Linked DNA regions of Macaca mulatta. The protein of the gene in region 1 purifies or fractionates together with the protein of each later gene. This does not show direct contact. Links are inferred from orthologs where the notes say so. Each region holds a gene or a part of one and is shown in the gene's direction. Other genes may lie near its edges.

Region 1 (7,429 bases):
ATTATATAAATATGAAATAATCCCACAACCTGGAAATAATCACAGTAAACACTTGGCTATAATTTTCTTCTAGCATTGTCTCTATGCATGTATACATTGATAAGAATATATATTTGGCCAGGCACGATGGCTCACGCCTATAATCCCAACACTTTGAGAGGCCGAGGCGGGTGGATCACGAGGTCAGGAGTTCCAGACCAGCCTGGCCAAGATGGTGAAACCCCATCTCAACTAAAAATACAAAAATGAGCTGGGCATGGTGGCAGGCACCTGTAATCCCAGCTACTCGGGAGGCTGAGGCAAAGAATTGCTTGAACCCGGGAAGCAGAGGTTGCAGTGAGCCGAGATCGCGCCACTGCACTCCAGCCTGGGCTACAGAGCAAGACTCCATCTCAAAAAAAAAAGAAAAAAAAAAAAAGAATGTATTTTTACTGAGTGGAACCATACTGTATATTCTGCTTTTCCACTTAACATCATACGGGTAGTGTATTTCCCTGGCTGCAGTATCTGCATGCTGTTTTGTTTTTATTTTTATTTTTTGGTTTGTTTGTTTTTTTGAGACAGGGTCTGACTCACTTGCCCAGGCTGGAGTGCAGTGGTGCGATCATGGCTCACTACAACCTCCACCTCCCAGGCTCAAGTGATCCTCCCCACTCAGCCTCCTGAGTAGCTGGGACTATGGGCACATGCCACCATGCCCAGCTAATTTTTGTATTTTTAGTAGAGAAGGGGGTTTCACCACATTGCCCAGGCTGGTCTTGAATTCCTGGGCTCAAGCAATCCACCTGTCTTGGCCTCCCAAAGTACTGGGATTACAGGCATGAACCACCGCACCCAGCCCATCTGAATGCTGTTGATTTAAATCTTTTCCCAGCACTGATGCATAGCCTGCTCTATGTCGTCCATTGACATTCGTGACATTCCTTCTCTCCCACCCCTTTGCCCCCTGCCAGCCTTGGGTTGCACCTGCCACCCACTCCTCTGGAGCCTAATTAGCTGGGAAAAGGGCTCCTGGGTCCCTGTCTGAGGTTTTTTTTTTTTTAGACAGAGTCTTGCTCTATCGCCCAGGCTGGAGTGCAGTGGTGCAATCTTGGCTCACTGCAAACTCTGCCTCCTGGGTTCAAGCGATTCTACTGCCTCAGCCTCCTGAGTATCTGGGATTACAGGCACGCACCACCAGTCTGGCTAATTTTTGTATTTTAGTAAAGACAGGGTTTCAACCATGTTGGTCAAACAGGTCTTGAACTCCTGACCTTGTGATCCACTCGCTTTGGCCTCCCAAAGTGCTGGGATTACAGGCGTGAGCCACCGTGCCTGGCCTCTGTCTGAGGTTTCTTCCAAGGAAGGAAGGATTTTTGTTCAGAGGTGGCGGCCCCTGTCTGACATCTGGTCCAGAAGCCCTTACTCTAGAGACTATTGAGTTGTTTGTTGGGCTTTGGGCATCTGTGAAGAGGCCCTAAAAACTTTCACTGATTCGTTTATTCATTTAACAATTAATCTCTGTAGGGTGTGGTGGCTCAGCCTGTAACCCAGCACTTTGGGAGGCAGGAAGATCCCTTGAGTCCAGGAGTTCGAGACCAGCCTGGGTAACATAGGGAGACCCTTGTCTCTACAAAAAGTAGAATAATTGGCCAGGTGCAGTGGTTTATGCCTGTAATCCCAGCACTTTGGGAGGTCAAGGCAGGCAGATCACCTGAGGTCGGGAGTTCAAGACCAGTCTGATCAACATAGAGAAACCCCGCCTCTACTAAAAATACAAAATTAGCTGGGCATGGTGGCTCATGCCTGTAATCCCAGCTACTCGGGAGGCTGAAGCAGGAGAATCGCTTGAACCCGGGAGGCAAAGGTTGCAGTGAGCGGAGATCTCGCCATTGCACTCCAGCCTGGGCTAACAAGAGTGAAACTCCGTCTCAAAAAAAAAAAAAAAAAAAAAAAAAGTAGAAAAATTAGCCAGGGATGGTGGCTCAGGCCTGTGATCCCATCTACTCGGGAGGCTGAGATGGGAAGATCACTTGAGCCCGGGAGGTTGAGGCTGCAGTGAGTGGTGATCATGCCACTGCACTCCAGCCTGCGCAACTGAACGCAACTTTGCCTGAAAAAAATGGAACAAAACAAAACAACAACAAAAAAACCTCAGAAGCGAGACTTTCCTTGGCTCAGAGGTTTGCCTCCCAGGGACACAAAGGTAGATCAAGTGATAGCCTTTTGGTGAGAATGGAGACGGGCTTCCTGCATTTCCAGTGCCTGGGTGGGCCACGTAGGAGTGTCTGTGTCTCTGAACGCATCCCTGCCCACCCTCACCTCTTGGGTTTGGGGAAGGTCTAATGAAATCATGAAAACTGACTTCCTTGGAGCTTGACCTGGGGTTGCTCTAAGTGCGCTACAGGTATCGCCATTAACCCGTGCAGGACCCAATGAACAGACGCTATCATAAGCCCCACTTTTCAGGCGAGCAAACAGGGGCTCACGGTTATCGATGCCATGGAGCGTCGGCCCAGAACCTGGGGTCTAGAAATCGTGGCCTCGCCCTCCTCTCACCGCCCTCTTCCTAGTCGGAGTGAACCCCCCAGAGAAGGGAAGGAGGAGGCAGGGCCTGGCAGAAGTCCCGGGAGCTGCACAGACAGGCGGTGGGAGCTGCCCCGACAGGGAGAGGCCAGGGCTTGGGCACATCTGCAGAAAAACCCTCCCCCCGGGGAAGGCGGTGGGGAGGGCGTGGAGGGGCGGGGCGTTGCCGCCCCCGGGGCGGGCCCAGTGCGTGGCAGCGGGACCTGCGGCCCCGTCGCAAAGTTTCCAGCCCTGCGAGCGCCGCCGGGGTCGGCCGATCATCCTCATACCTCGGCCATGCGGCCCCTGCTGCTCCTGGCCCCGCTGGGCTGGCTGCTGCTGGCTGAAGCGAAGGGCGACGCCAAGCCGGAGGGTGAGGGAGCGAAGGCCGGGGGCGGGAGCGCGGATCCGGGCGGGAGGTCTGGTCCCGGGCTGCCTCCCTGGGAACGACCTGAATGGGAGGCCTGGGCTGGAGAGGGAGTCTGGGTTCCGGTTCCTCGTCCACTTACTCCCTGGTGACTTGAACAAATCACTTCCCCTCTTGGGGCTGCGGTTCCTCCTTCGGGAAAGAAAGGGTGACAGCTGAGTTCCATTCAGCACAGAAAGGCTCAAATAATAATAGTTCTCATAATAATAACCGGCAATGGCTATTCTGCGGAGTGCTCACTATGGGCAAGGCATCAGTTAGGCATGATTGCTACCCTGGTAAGTGTTTCCTTCTATTATCCCCGTTTTCCAGCTGGGCAAACTGAGGCTCCAGAGTTCATTCACTTGCCCAAGATCATACAACTTGTGGGCCTTGGAACCAGGATTTACCCCACCCACCCAGGTGTCTGGTTCCAGAGCCAGGAGGCCTCATGACCATGGGAGTGAGGGGTCTTGAGGGGGACAGGGGAGGGATGGGGGTAGAAGGTGTGGCTCACTTTGTGGAGCAGTTTGTGCTTTCACCCATGTCCCCTGTGGTCTGCTGAGCCCCTGCCAGGGTGGTCTTCCTCTCTGCAGTTTATTTTTTTATTTTATTTAATTAATTTATTTATTTTTGAGACGGAGTCTTGCTCTGTCGCCCAGGCTGGAATGCAGTGTGTGATCTCGCCTTACTGCAACCTCTGCCTCCCAGGTAGAGGCGATTTTTTTTTTTTTTTTTTGAGATGGAGTCTTGCTCTGTCGCCCAGGCTGGAGTGCAGTGGTGCAATCTCAGCTCACTGCAACCTCTACCTCTCGGGTTCAAGTGTTTCCCCTGCCTCAGCCTCCCAAGTAGCTGGGATTACAGGCACACGCCACCATGCCTAGCTAATTTTTGTATTTTTAGTTGAAATGGAGTTTCACCATGCTGGCCAGGCTGATCTTGAACTTCTGACCTCGTGATCCGCCTGCCTTGGCCTCCCAAAGTCTTTGGATTACAGGCGTGAGCCATCACACCCAGCCGGTTCAAGCAATTCCTGTACCTCAGCCTCCCAGGTAGCTGGGATCACAGACATGTGCCACCATGCCGGCTAATTTTTGTATTTTTAGTAGAGATGGGGTTTCACCATGTTGACCAGGCTGGTCTTGAACTCTTGACCTCAGGTGATCTGCCCACCTTGGTCTCCCAAAGTGCTGGGATTACAGGTGTGAGTCACCGCGCCTGGCCCTCTCTGCAGTTTATACTTGAGGAAACTGAGGCCCAGACAGATGAAGTGACTGTCCAGGGTGGTCCAGACAGAGGTGGCTGGTCCGAGGTCAGCTGGGCACCAGTCTAGCACTCCTTCTACTTCCTCAAGGCCGATTGGATTGCAGTGTGTGTCCCACTGTCCTGAGTGGGTGCTTCCCTCCTCCCCAGCCCTCCCTGGCATGGGCCCTCTGCAGGGCTGTCCCGAGAAGGGCATAGACTGCAGACAGTCCCAGCAAAGCCAAGCAGAACTGACGGTAGCTTCCGTGGCGTTCTCCTCCTTCAGCCTACCCTCTTGGAGAACCTGAAACTGTACCACTAGAAGGATCCTGGGTTCTGGGACCCTTGGGTCTTTGGGTCAGGGATGGGAACCACCATTTCTTTCTTTTTTTGTTGTTGTTGGTTTTTTTTTGTTTTTTGAGACAGAGTTTTGCTGTGTCTCCCAGGCTAGAGTACAGTGGTGTGACCTCGGCTCACTGCAACCTCTGCCTCCTGGGTTCAAGCAATTATCGTGTGTCAGCCTCCAGACTAGTTTGGGATTACACGCCTGCACCATCATGCCCAGCTAATTTTTGTATTTTTAGAAGAGACGAGGTTTTACCATGTTGGCCAGGCTGGTTTCAAACTCCTGACCTCACGTGATCCTCCTGCCTCGGCTTCCCAAAGTGCTGGGATTACAGGCGGGAGCCACTGCACCCAGCCAGGAACCACCATTTCTTTCTTTTTTTTTTTTTTTTTGTGAGACAGAGTTTCACTCTTGTTGCCCAGGCTAGAGTCCAATGGTGCGATCTCGGCTCACTGCAACCTCCGCCTCCCAGGTTCAAGCGATTCTTCTGCCTCAGTCTCCCTAGTGGTTGGTATTACAGGCAGATACCACGACGCTCAGCTAATTTTTGTATCTTTAGTAGAGACGGGGTTTTACCATGTTGGTCAGGCTGGTTTCAAACTCCTGATCTCAGGTGATCCACCTGCCTCGGCCTCCCAAAGTGCTGGGATTACAGGCGTGAGCAACCGCGCCCGGCCAGGAACTGCCATTTCTTGAGTACCTCCCTTGGGCCAGGTTGTGCCCAAGGCCCCACGTCTCCCAGTGGTAAAGCCGGCGCTGCTTGCTCTCTGTGAGGTTTGGTGTTCTAGCCTGCAAGACCTGGTGATACTACCTCACGCCTGGAGTTCTAACAAGGATTTCAGGGGATGAAGCTGGGGAGAGTTCAGCTCAATGCCTGGCCCATGAAAGGCCCTCGGCAAAGGGCATTTTCTCTCCCGGGCCCAGGGCTGCTGGCTTACAGCAGGGCAGTAAAACAGCTCAGAAAGTCCAGTGACGGAAACGCTGACCACCGGGCCGTGCAAAGGGCTCTCGGCCTGGGTCCCCTCACTGGCCAGGAGCCCTGTTGTGGCCTTGTTTTCTGGGCCTTTGATACCCCTGCTTCTGCTGACATGGGCTGCCTGCATCCCAGACCATCCCAGGAGAGAAACCTTAGCTGCCCACGATGAAGCCCGGGAAGTTGAATTGTAGAGGGACCAGACTGATGACAGGGCGTTAGGCACCCTGATCCCCAGCAAGTGACAGGAGGAGGGCAGAGCAGATCTGAGGAAGCCTTCACGGAGGGTGCTGCTGTGGGCGGAGGACAGGATTAGTGTGCTGCTGATGTAACCCAGGTAGAGCACCTGGTAGATAGTAAGCACATCTGTGCTCACTGATGCACGAGAGAGCGGATCCCCAGGCCTGGGGCTAATGTCAGGCCAGTCTGAGTTGCGCCTTTGCTTCCCTTCTCCATTTGAATCCTTACCTGTTTTCCTTTTTTTTTTCAATTTTTCATTTTCTTTCCTTCTTTTTTTTTTTCTTTTTTTTTGAGACAGAGTCTCACTTTGTTGCCCAGGCTAGAGTGCAATGACACGATCTCAGCTCACTGCAGCCTCCGCCTCCAGGGTTCAAGCGATTCTCCTGTCTCAGCCTCCCAAGTAGCTGGGATCACAGGCATGTGCCACCATGCCTGTCTAATTTTTGTATTTTTAGTAGAGACGGGTTTTGCAGTGTTGGCCAGGCTGGTCTCAAACTCCTGACCTCAAGCAATCTGCCCACCTCGGCTTCCCAAAGTGCTGGGATTACAGGCGTGAGCCACCATGCCTGGCCAGGATCCCTTTGATGAGTAAGGAATCATCAACCCCATTTTGGAGATGGGAAGACTGAGGCCCTGGAAGGTTAAACATCTGGTCTCTCGTTGCCAGAGCTGGTTGGGGGTGGGGTTGTTGTCTGGAACTCAGATCTACTGTTCATTTCTGCACCTCTGGATGGGAAGGGGGTGCTATTGCCTGGAAATGCTGCCTGGGGGAGCCTGCTCAGCTCCCCCAGACCCAGCTGAGGCGTGACCTTCAGCCAGCTGGACAGGACAGAGTGGATTGCTCATCTTCCCTGCAGGCATTGCCTAAGCAGCCCACTGACTAGTGTATGTGTTTGGTGGGGGGCACCCCAGCAGCCCCCCAGAGAGGCCAGCTCTTTCCTTTCCCTGGCAGGTGGATGGGAGGGTCAGCTACTGAGGTGGATTCAGCCAGAGTAGGGGAGGGGATTTGTTGTGGAGTCTTGGGGAGTGAGGTGGGTGGGGTGCTGTCGGCAGCTTGTCTGTCCCCTCACCCAAAACCCATGGCCTTGGTGCATGGAGAGAAACATGGACTGTTTTCACTTTTAGGGGGCTCCCAGTCGGAGGGGGGTATAGAGCACCTCGCCTCAGTAGACACCCCGTGTCTGAGGGAAGAGATATTGTGCCATCCTGTGGAGGCTTCCAGAACAAGATGGGAGACACAAGGAGGCTTCAGCAAAGCAACATCTTCCATCACAGGGAACTGGGGGAATAAAAGGCAACATCCAAACAGGCAGATGTCCCTAGAGCCGAGGCCAGATGTACCACGGCCCTTCCTCCCGTTTGCAGAAACTTTTAGCAGATCTCCAGCTCCTGCCTTTCCCTGTAGGCCTTGGTTTGGCCACAGTGAGGGAAGGACAGCTGCAGAGATCAGAGGCTCAGCTGGGCGTTCAGGTCATGCTGTTCCCTACTAGAGAACGGAAGGGTCCCGGGAGTCAGGCAGGCTGCACTGGATGGTGTGGGGGTGGGGCCGGGTCTGGGGAGACCTAAGTGGGCAGCTGGCCCGGGGGAGGCCAAGGTTGGCTCCCAGGTGCTGGGCATCCCTAGTTCCTGCCAGACCCTGTTCCTGGCTTCCGTTCAAGCCTGGGGTGGGGATGAAGGA
Region 2 (6,978 bases), on another chromosome or scaffold:
AAGCCAAAAAAAAAAAAAAAAAAAAAAAAAAATTGTACAAAATGTAATAAAAAACAGCCTGTAAATCTGTCACTGAGACCTTAGGATGGTTAATAGGAAAACTGTTATCACTGCAGATGCAGTCTGCTAGGCACTTAATATGCAATCAGTAAATGTTAAATCGTTTCCTCAGTGTAGTTTTATGGCCGTTATTACACTTTGTACTTTGTTTCCAAGAGGCCCAATGCTCACAGACCATATCAGATAACCATCCACATTCAAAATTGGACAATTTTATAAAATTTCCTATACCAAATCCCAGAAATGCAAACATTTTAATTTGTTTTATGTTGCTTTTTTGCTGAAGTAAAAGTAATTATTTCTGTAGAAATTTAAGACTGCATAAAAAAATTGGAAAAATAACATGGAAAATCCATTAACCTACCACTCAGAGTAACCACTAATATGTTCTTTCTAACTTAAAAAAAATCCCAGTACAGCAAATTTAAAGAATTAAAACTGTATAGAAGTATATAGGGTAAAAAGCGAAAAGCCCACTTCACTCCCCCTACCCTTCAGTTCTCTCAAAAACAAGTTTGCTTCCAGATCTTCTTTTATTTATTTACATACGTATATACATGCATGCTAATCTTTTACTATAAGTAGGATCATACTATGTATGTTCTTTCATTTAGTGTATTTTGGAGATCTTTCTGGGTCAAGGCAGATAGATTTTTTTTTAAATGGCTGCATTGCATTCCATTTTAAGGATAAGGTATAATTCATTCAGCCATTCCTCTAATGATGGCTATTTAGCTTTCCAATGTTCTGCCTTTACTAACAGTGCTGCAAGGAACATTCCTAAGTATTTCTGTTGACTAGATTCCTGGAAGGATTCTAGCAGTGTCAAAGGGTATGGGAATATGTATTTTGTACATAGTTGAGATTGTAAAGCAGCTGTGCTCTTGGGTCACTTATAATTATAGCATAAGTAATTTCTCATGTTATTAAATATTTTTGTAACTTTTAAAATTAAATGCATAATATTCCAGTTTTCTTAATAAAGTACTTTTCAAAGAATATATAGCTCCATAAATCTTTGTCTGAATTTCAGATCATCTCCTTAGGGCACATAACTGAAATGTATTTGCTGTCAAAAGGCGTGATACATATTATCAAATTGCTTTCAGGATATAGTGGGATTTATCAAAAAGGAAATAGTTTATATCAATTACCACTCCTCTAGTAGTGTATTATTAGTTTGTGAACTCTGCATAGCACTGATTTACTGTCACCGTTTAATTTCCATAATCTTGATGGGTGAAAAATAATGATTAGTTCTGGTTTTAACTTACTGGAAGATTGATTAAATTTGAACATTTCCCAGATTGCTCTCCTGTATCCTCCTATACCTGTATTCTCTCATACTTAATCTGTTATCAAGTCCCGCAGATTCCACTTTTTTTGGTATGTGTAGATATAGCTTTTCTCCATTTTACTCCTGTTGCCTTAGGCGATTCCTTTAACGTATATTTAAGAGACAAGTTCTAACTAATCTCCCTAGTTCCACCTCTGAGTACCACACTGTTGCCGGGGTGATCTGTCTGAAAGAGTTTTGGTGAAGTCACCCCACAAACTCCCCGGTTTAAAAGTCTTAAAAGGTGCTTAGTGTATATAGTGTGTATATACTTCTATACAGTTTTAATTCTTTAAATTTGCTGCACTGGGATTTTTTTAAGTTAGAATGAACATATTAGTGGTTACTCTGAGTGGTAGGTTTATGGATTTTCCATGTTATTTTTCCAGTTTTTTTATGCAGTCTTAACTAAGCACTGCATAAAAGTCTTTGGGATCTGATCTATGCCTTGCCAGCCTTTTCTCTTGCTTTTCCCTCTCCTATTTGTGCTTTATCATAATTTTAAAAAATCGTTTATGGATCCCTGGGCAGGTTAGTCTGTTTCATTTAACCATTTGACCTCCAACCAATAGAACTGATCAACTAGTCCCTCCTTGATACTATGCTTATACCCCACCCAGAGGGTCATGGCAAGTATAATGTATATTTGCATTTACATCTTTAATAATGATATTTGGTGCTCCTGTAGGATCATAAGCCCTTTCTGGGCTTATTGATTCTTGTATGCCAGAGCTGAGTATTGGACATGGCAACTAAAAAATATTTCTAAAATGAATGTGTGAATTCCCAATAATGTCTTTTTTTCATTTATCTCTGAAGCCCAAATATTTCCCTGATTTTATTGATTTGCATACATTTGTATATAAGGAGATTATATAAAGAACGTATATAACCTGTGTTTTGTTTGTGTTTTAATGTTTTAATTGTTGTTTAATCTTTTGATCTAGTGAAGTTTTTTATGTGTGTATATTCAGATATAGCTATCTTTTATTTGTTGACCTATCCCACTGATTTGTTGATGTTATTTTATTTATTTATTTATTTTTTGAGACTTAGTTTCGCTCTGGTGGCCCATGCTGGAGTGCAGTGGCGTGATCTCGGCTCACCTCCACCTCCTGGGTACATAAAAGTGGTTTTCCTGCCTCAGCCTCCCAAGTAGCTGGGATTACAGGCGCCTGCCACCACGCCCAGCCAATTTTTTGTATTTTTAGTAGAGACAGGGTTTCACCATGTTGGCCAGGCTGGTCTCTGACCTCTAGGTGGTACACCCGCCTGACCTCAGGTGGTACTACTGACCTCAGGTGGTACACCCGCCTCAGCCTCCCAAAGTGCTGGGATTACAGGCGTGAGCCACCACACCCGGCCGATTGCTATTAATTTTTAATGGTATCCAACATGTAATAGGCATTGAATAAATAACTTAAAAAATGAATGAGTTAAAAATTTGGTGAACTCTTTGTTTATACAGACATCTTACAGAAAAGCTGTCAGCATAGTTGAATTTTCTATTAATAGTTTGCTTTTTTATCTTACTATATCACGGGCATTTTTCCATGACAGTAGTCTTCTAATTTTTTTTTTCAGCTACACTAAAATTGCATTGAGCCAAACTTGCCACCAAGAGCCCAACAGTCACCATGATGCTGAGCACGGAAGGCAGGGAGGGGTTCGTGGTGAAGGTCAGGGGCCTACCCTGGTCCTGCTCAGCCGATGAAGTGATGCGCTTCTTCTCTGATTGCAAGATCCAAAATGGCACATCAGGTATTCGTTTCATCTACACCAGAGAAGGCAGACCAAGTGGTGAAGCATTTGTTGAACTTGAATCTGAAGAGGAAGTGAAATTGGCTTTGAAGAAGGACAGAGAAACCATGGGACACAGATACGTTGAAGTATTCAAGTCTAACAGTGTTGAAATGGATTGGGTGTTGAAGCATACAGGTCCGAATAGCCCTGATACTGCCAACGATGGCTTCGTCCGGCTTAGAGGACTCCCATTTGGCTGTAGCAAGGAAGAGATTGTTCAGTTCTTTTCAGGGTTGGAAATTGTGCCAAATGGGATGACACTGCCAGTGGACTTTCAGGGGCGAAGCACAGGGGAAGCCTTTGTGCAGTTTGCTTCGCAGGAGATAGCTGAGAAGGCCTTAAAGAAACACAAGGAAAGAATAGGGCACAGGTACATTGAGATCTTCAAGAGTAGCCGAGCTGAAGTTCGAACCCACTATGATCCCCCTCGAAAGCTCATGGCTATGCAGCGGCCAGGTCCCTATGATAGGCCGGGGGCTGGCAGAGGGTATAATAGCATTGGCAGAGGAGCTGGGTTTGAAAGGATGAGGCGTGGTGCCTACGGTGGAGGGTATGGAGGCTATGATGACTATGGTGGCTATAATGATGGATATGGCTTTGGGTCTGATAGATTTGGAAGAGACCTCAATTACTGTTTTTCAGGAATGTCTGATCATAGATATGGAGATGGTGGGTCCAGTTTCCAGAGCACCACAGGGCACTGTGTACACATGAGGGGGTTACCTTACAGAGCCACTGAGAATGATATTTATAATTTCTTCTCACCTCTTAATCCCATGAGAGTACATATTGAAATTGGACCCGATGGCAGAGTTACTGGTGAGGCAGATGTTGAATTTGCTACTCATGAAGATGCTGTGGCAGCTATGGCAAAAGACAAAGCTAATATGCAACATAGATATGTGGAGCTCTTCTTAAATTCTACTGCAGGAACAAGTGGGGGTGCTTACGATCACAGCTATGTAGAACTTTTTTTGAATTCTACAGCAGGGGCAAGTGGTGGGGCTTATGGTAGCCAAATGATGGGAGGGATGGGCTTATCCAACCAGTCTAGTTATGGAGGTCCTGCTAGCCAGCAGCTGAGTGGTGGTTATGGAGGTGGTTATGGTGGTCAGAGCAGTATGAGTGGATATGACCAAGTTCTGCAGGAAAATTCCAGTGACTATCAGTCAAACCTTGCTTAGGTAGAGAAGGAGCACCAAACAGCTACTCCATATATAAAAGCTGTACATTTGTGGGAGTTGAATAGAATGGGAGGGATGTCTAGTATATCCAGTATGATTGGTAAATGGGAAATATAATTGATTCTGATCACTCTTGGTCAGCTTCTCTTTCTTTATCTTTCTTTCTCCTTTTTTAAGAAAACAAGAGTTAAGTTTAACAGTTTTGCATTACAGGCTTGTGATTCATGCTTACTGTAAAGTGGAAGTTGAGATTATTTTAAAACTTCAAGCTCAGTAATTTTGAACACTGAAACATTCATCTAGGACATAATAACAAAGTTCAGTATTGACCATAACTGTTAAAACAATTTTTAGCTTTCCTCAAGTTAGTTATGTTGTAGGAGTGTACCTAAGCAGTAAGCGTATTTAGGTTAATGCAGTTTCACTTATGTTAAATGTTGCTCTTATACCACAAATACATTGAAAACTTCGGATGCATGTTGAGAAACATGCTTTTCTGTAAAACTCAAATATAGGAGCTGTGTCTACGATTCAAAGTGAAAACATTTGGCATGTTTGTTAATTCTAGCTTTTTGGTTTAATATCCTGTAAGGCACGTGAGTGTACACTTTTTTTTTTTTTTTTTTTTTTTTTTTGAAGGATACGGGACAATTTTAAGATGTAATACCAATACTTTAGAAGTTTGGTCGTGTTGTTTGTATGAAATTCTGAGGCTTTGGTTTAAATCTTTCCTTGTATTGTGATTTCCATTTAGATGTATTGTACTAAGTGAAACTTGTTAAATAAATCTTCCTTTTAAAAACTGGAAAAAATCTTGTGCTGATTGATTTTTATTATGTTCTGTCATATGGGCACGCTGATTGACTTTATAATTCCCTCAAAATTAAAATTTTTAATTTTAAAATTATAAACAATATATTTAGCATCTTTATATGTTCATTGTTGCATATATCATTAATTATTTCTAAGATATATCCCTAGAAATGGGATTGCTGAGTCAAAGATACACTCATTTTTAAGGCTTCTGATTTGTGTTACCAGCAAGATTCTGGTACTTTATCTTTTTACCTGGAGTGTGTGCTTTATTTTCCCCCTTATGCCCTCCTTATTGATGCACATTATTCTTTGTGATCTTTGCCAGTCTGTTAGTTGAGAAATGATATCTCATTGCAATTTTAATTTGTATTTTTTTGATTAATATTAAAGTTGAACATTTTCTTCTTTTTTAAAAAAACTTACCATGTCTACAGGACTATTGAGCTACTTTTGGAGCCACTTACCAAGATAGTATTCTCTAAAATCCAAAGAAGTGAAAGCGAATAAATAATCCTTTGTATTTCATCACAAACTAGAAGGCACCTTTGTATGTTAAAAAAGAAGTAGGCTTACAATTATGTGTCAAAAACAAAACATAAAAAAGAAGCAGGCTTATGTTAAGGAAATAAATTGTCTCCTCCATGAATTCATTAGGAGATTCTCTAAACACTCTCAGGTGTATTTTAGGGCATCTAAAGCTTATCTTAAACCAGCGTTCTCAAACTTTTCATGTGCATCAGAATCATCTGCAGGGGTTGTTTAAACATTCATTTCTAGGCCCCATCCCTAGAGTTTACAGTTCAGTAGTTTTGGGATGTTGCTTGAGAATGTGCTGATACTGCTGGTCTCAAGACCATGTTTTGAGACCCATCACAGTTCCCCAAACAACTTTAAGGAGCAGCTTCCTTTATGATCCCTGATCGCCTCCCCTTTGTTCCCATAACAAGTAGTTTAAGTTTTCTATTAAAGTCCAAACCACATGTTTACAATACCTTGCACCTCTCATGAGGATTCTGAGCACCTGTGGCATTGTGTGCTGATGTCTTAGATTTTTGTCTGGATCACAGTGGTCATTAACAATTCCACCCCTCAATGACTTTAAGACCCCAATGTCCCTCTGATCAGTACCAACTGTATCTTGAACTACAGATCTCTTTGTAGTTTCACTGACCCCTTGGGAACTGTATTGCTATACTTGGGCTGTTCAGAGCTTGGGACCCAGAGAAATGAGATGGGAGGCAAATACCAAGTTGGTATTACCTGACTCCATTTCATTCAGGAAATGAAAATCAATTCTGGAAAATCATTCAAGCTGAAGATGCAGTGGGACGTGATTGAAATTCTTTGATGACTTCTAATTTTTATCACAGCTTTCAGGAGAGCAAGAAACCCATTTTGACTCCTATCATGTTGAGCCAGTCCTTGTCCAGGAAGCCTTTCTCAGAGGGTAAACAAGTAGGTGTTTTTGCCTTCCCAGGCTACTTAGTTAATTTTCCAGAAGTTTCTCTAAGTCTGAGCAAAGATTCTCAAGTTAGCCACTAGATGGCACCAAATCCCAGGAGACAATGGAGGGCTCCTTGTGATCTTAAATGTTCACTTACTCTTCTTCGCTGGATAAGAAAATTCAGAAGGGCTCTGGGGAGCAAAGGAGAGAACCTGGAGAAGGTCAGTGGTCAGCACTAGAGGTTCCAAAGGGACAGCAGTATAGCTGGTGTGCACACGCATGCACACACACCACCACACGTGCTCCAACACTCACATCTAACACTACTACCCAGG

Evidence for each region.
Region 2: the proteins of PLOD1 (region 1) and HNRNPH2 purify together in Homo sapiens (affinity purification with mass spectrometry; 3 studies listed by BioGRID and IntAct, counting the BioPlex papers as one, with this or other methods). This does not show direct contact. The link is inferred for Macaca mulatta from reciprocal best matches to the Homo sapiens genes PLOD1 and HNRNPH2.

Annotation. Positions count from the first base shown.
Region 1 is NC_133406.1:228,788,634-228,796,062, reverse strand, and holds the start of PLOD1 (procollagen-lysine,2-oxoglutarate 5-dioxygenase 1), read left to right. Parts: upstream 1-2,784; 5' UTR 2,785-2,841; coding exon 2,842-2,917; intron 2,918-7,429. UniProt on the Homo sapiens protein: Part of a complex composed of PLOD1, P3H3 and P3H4 that catalyzes hydroxylation of lysine residues in collagen alpha chains and is required for normal assembly and cross-linkling of collagen fibrils.
Region 2 is NC_133426.1:108,300,272-108,307,249, forward strand, and holds the end of HNRNPH2 (heterogeneous nuclear ribonucleoprotein H2), read left to right. Parts: intron 1-2,959; exon of another isoform or gene 2,960-2,980; 5' UTR 2,981-3,033; coding exon 3,034-4,383; 3' UTR 4,384-5,200; downstream 5,201-6,978. UniProt on the Homo sapiens protein: This protein is a component of the heterogeneous nuclear ribonucleoprotein (hnRNP) complexes which provide the substrate for the processing events that pre-mRNAs undergo before becoming functional, translatable mRNAs in the cytoplasm. Binds poly(RG).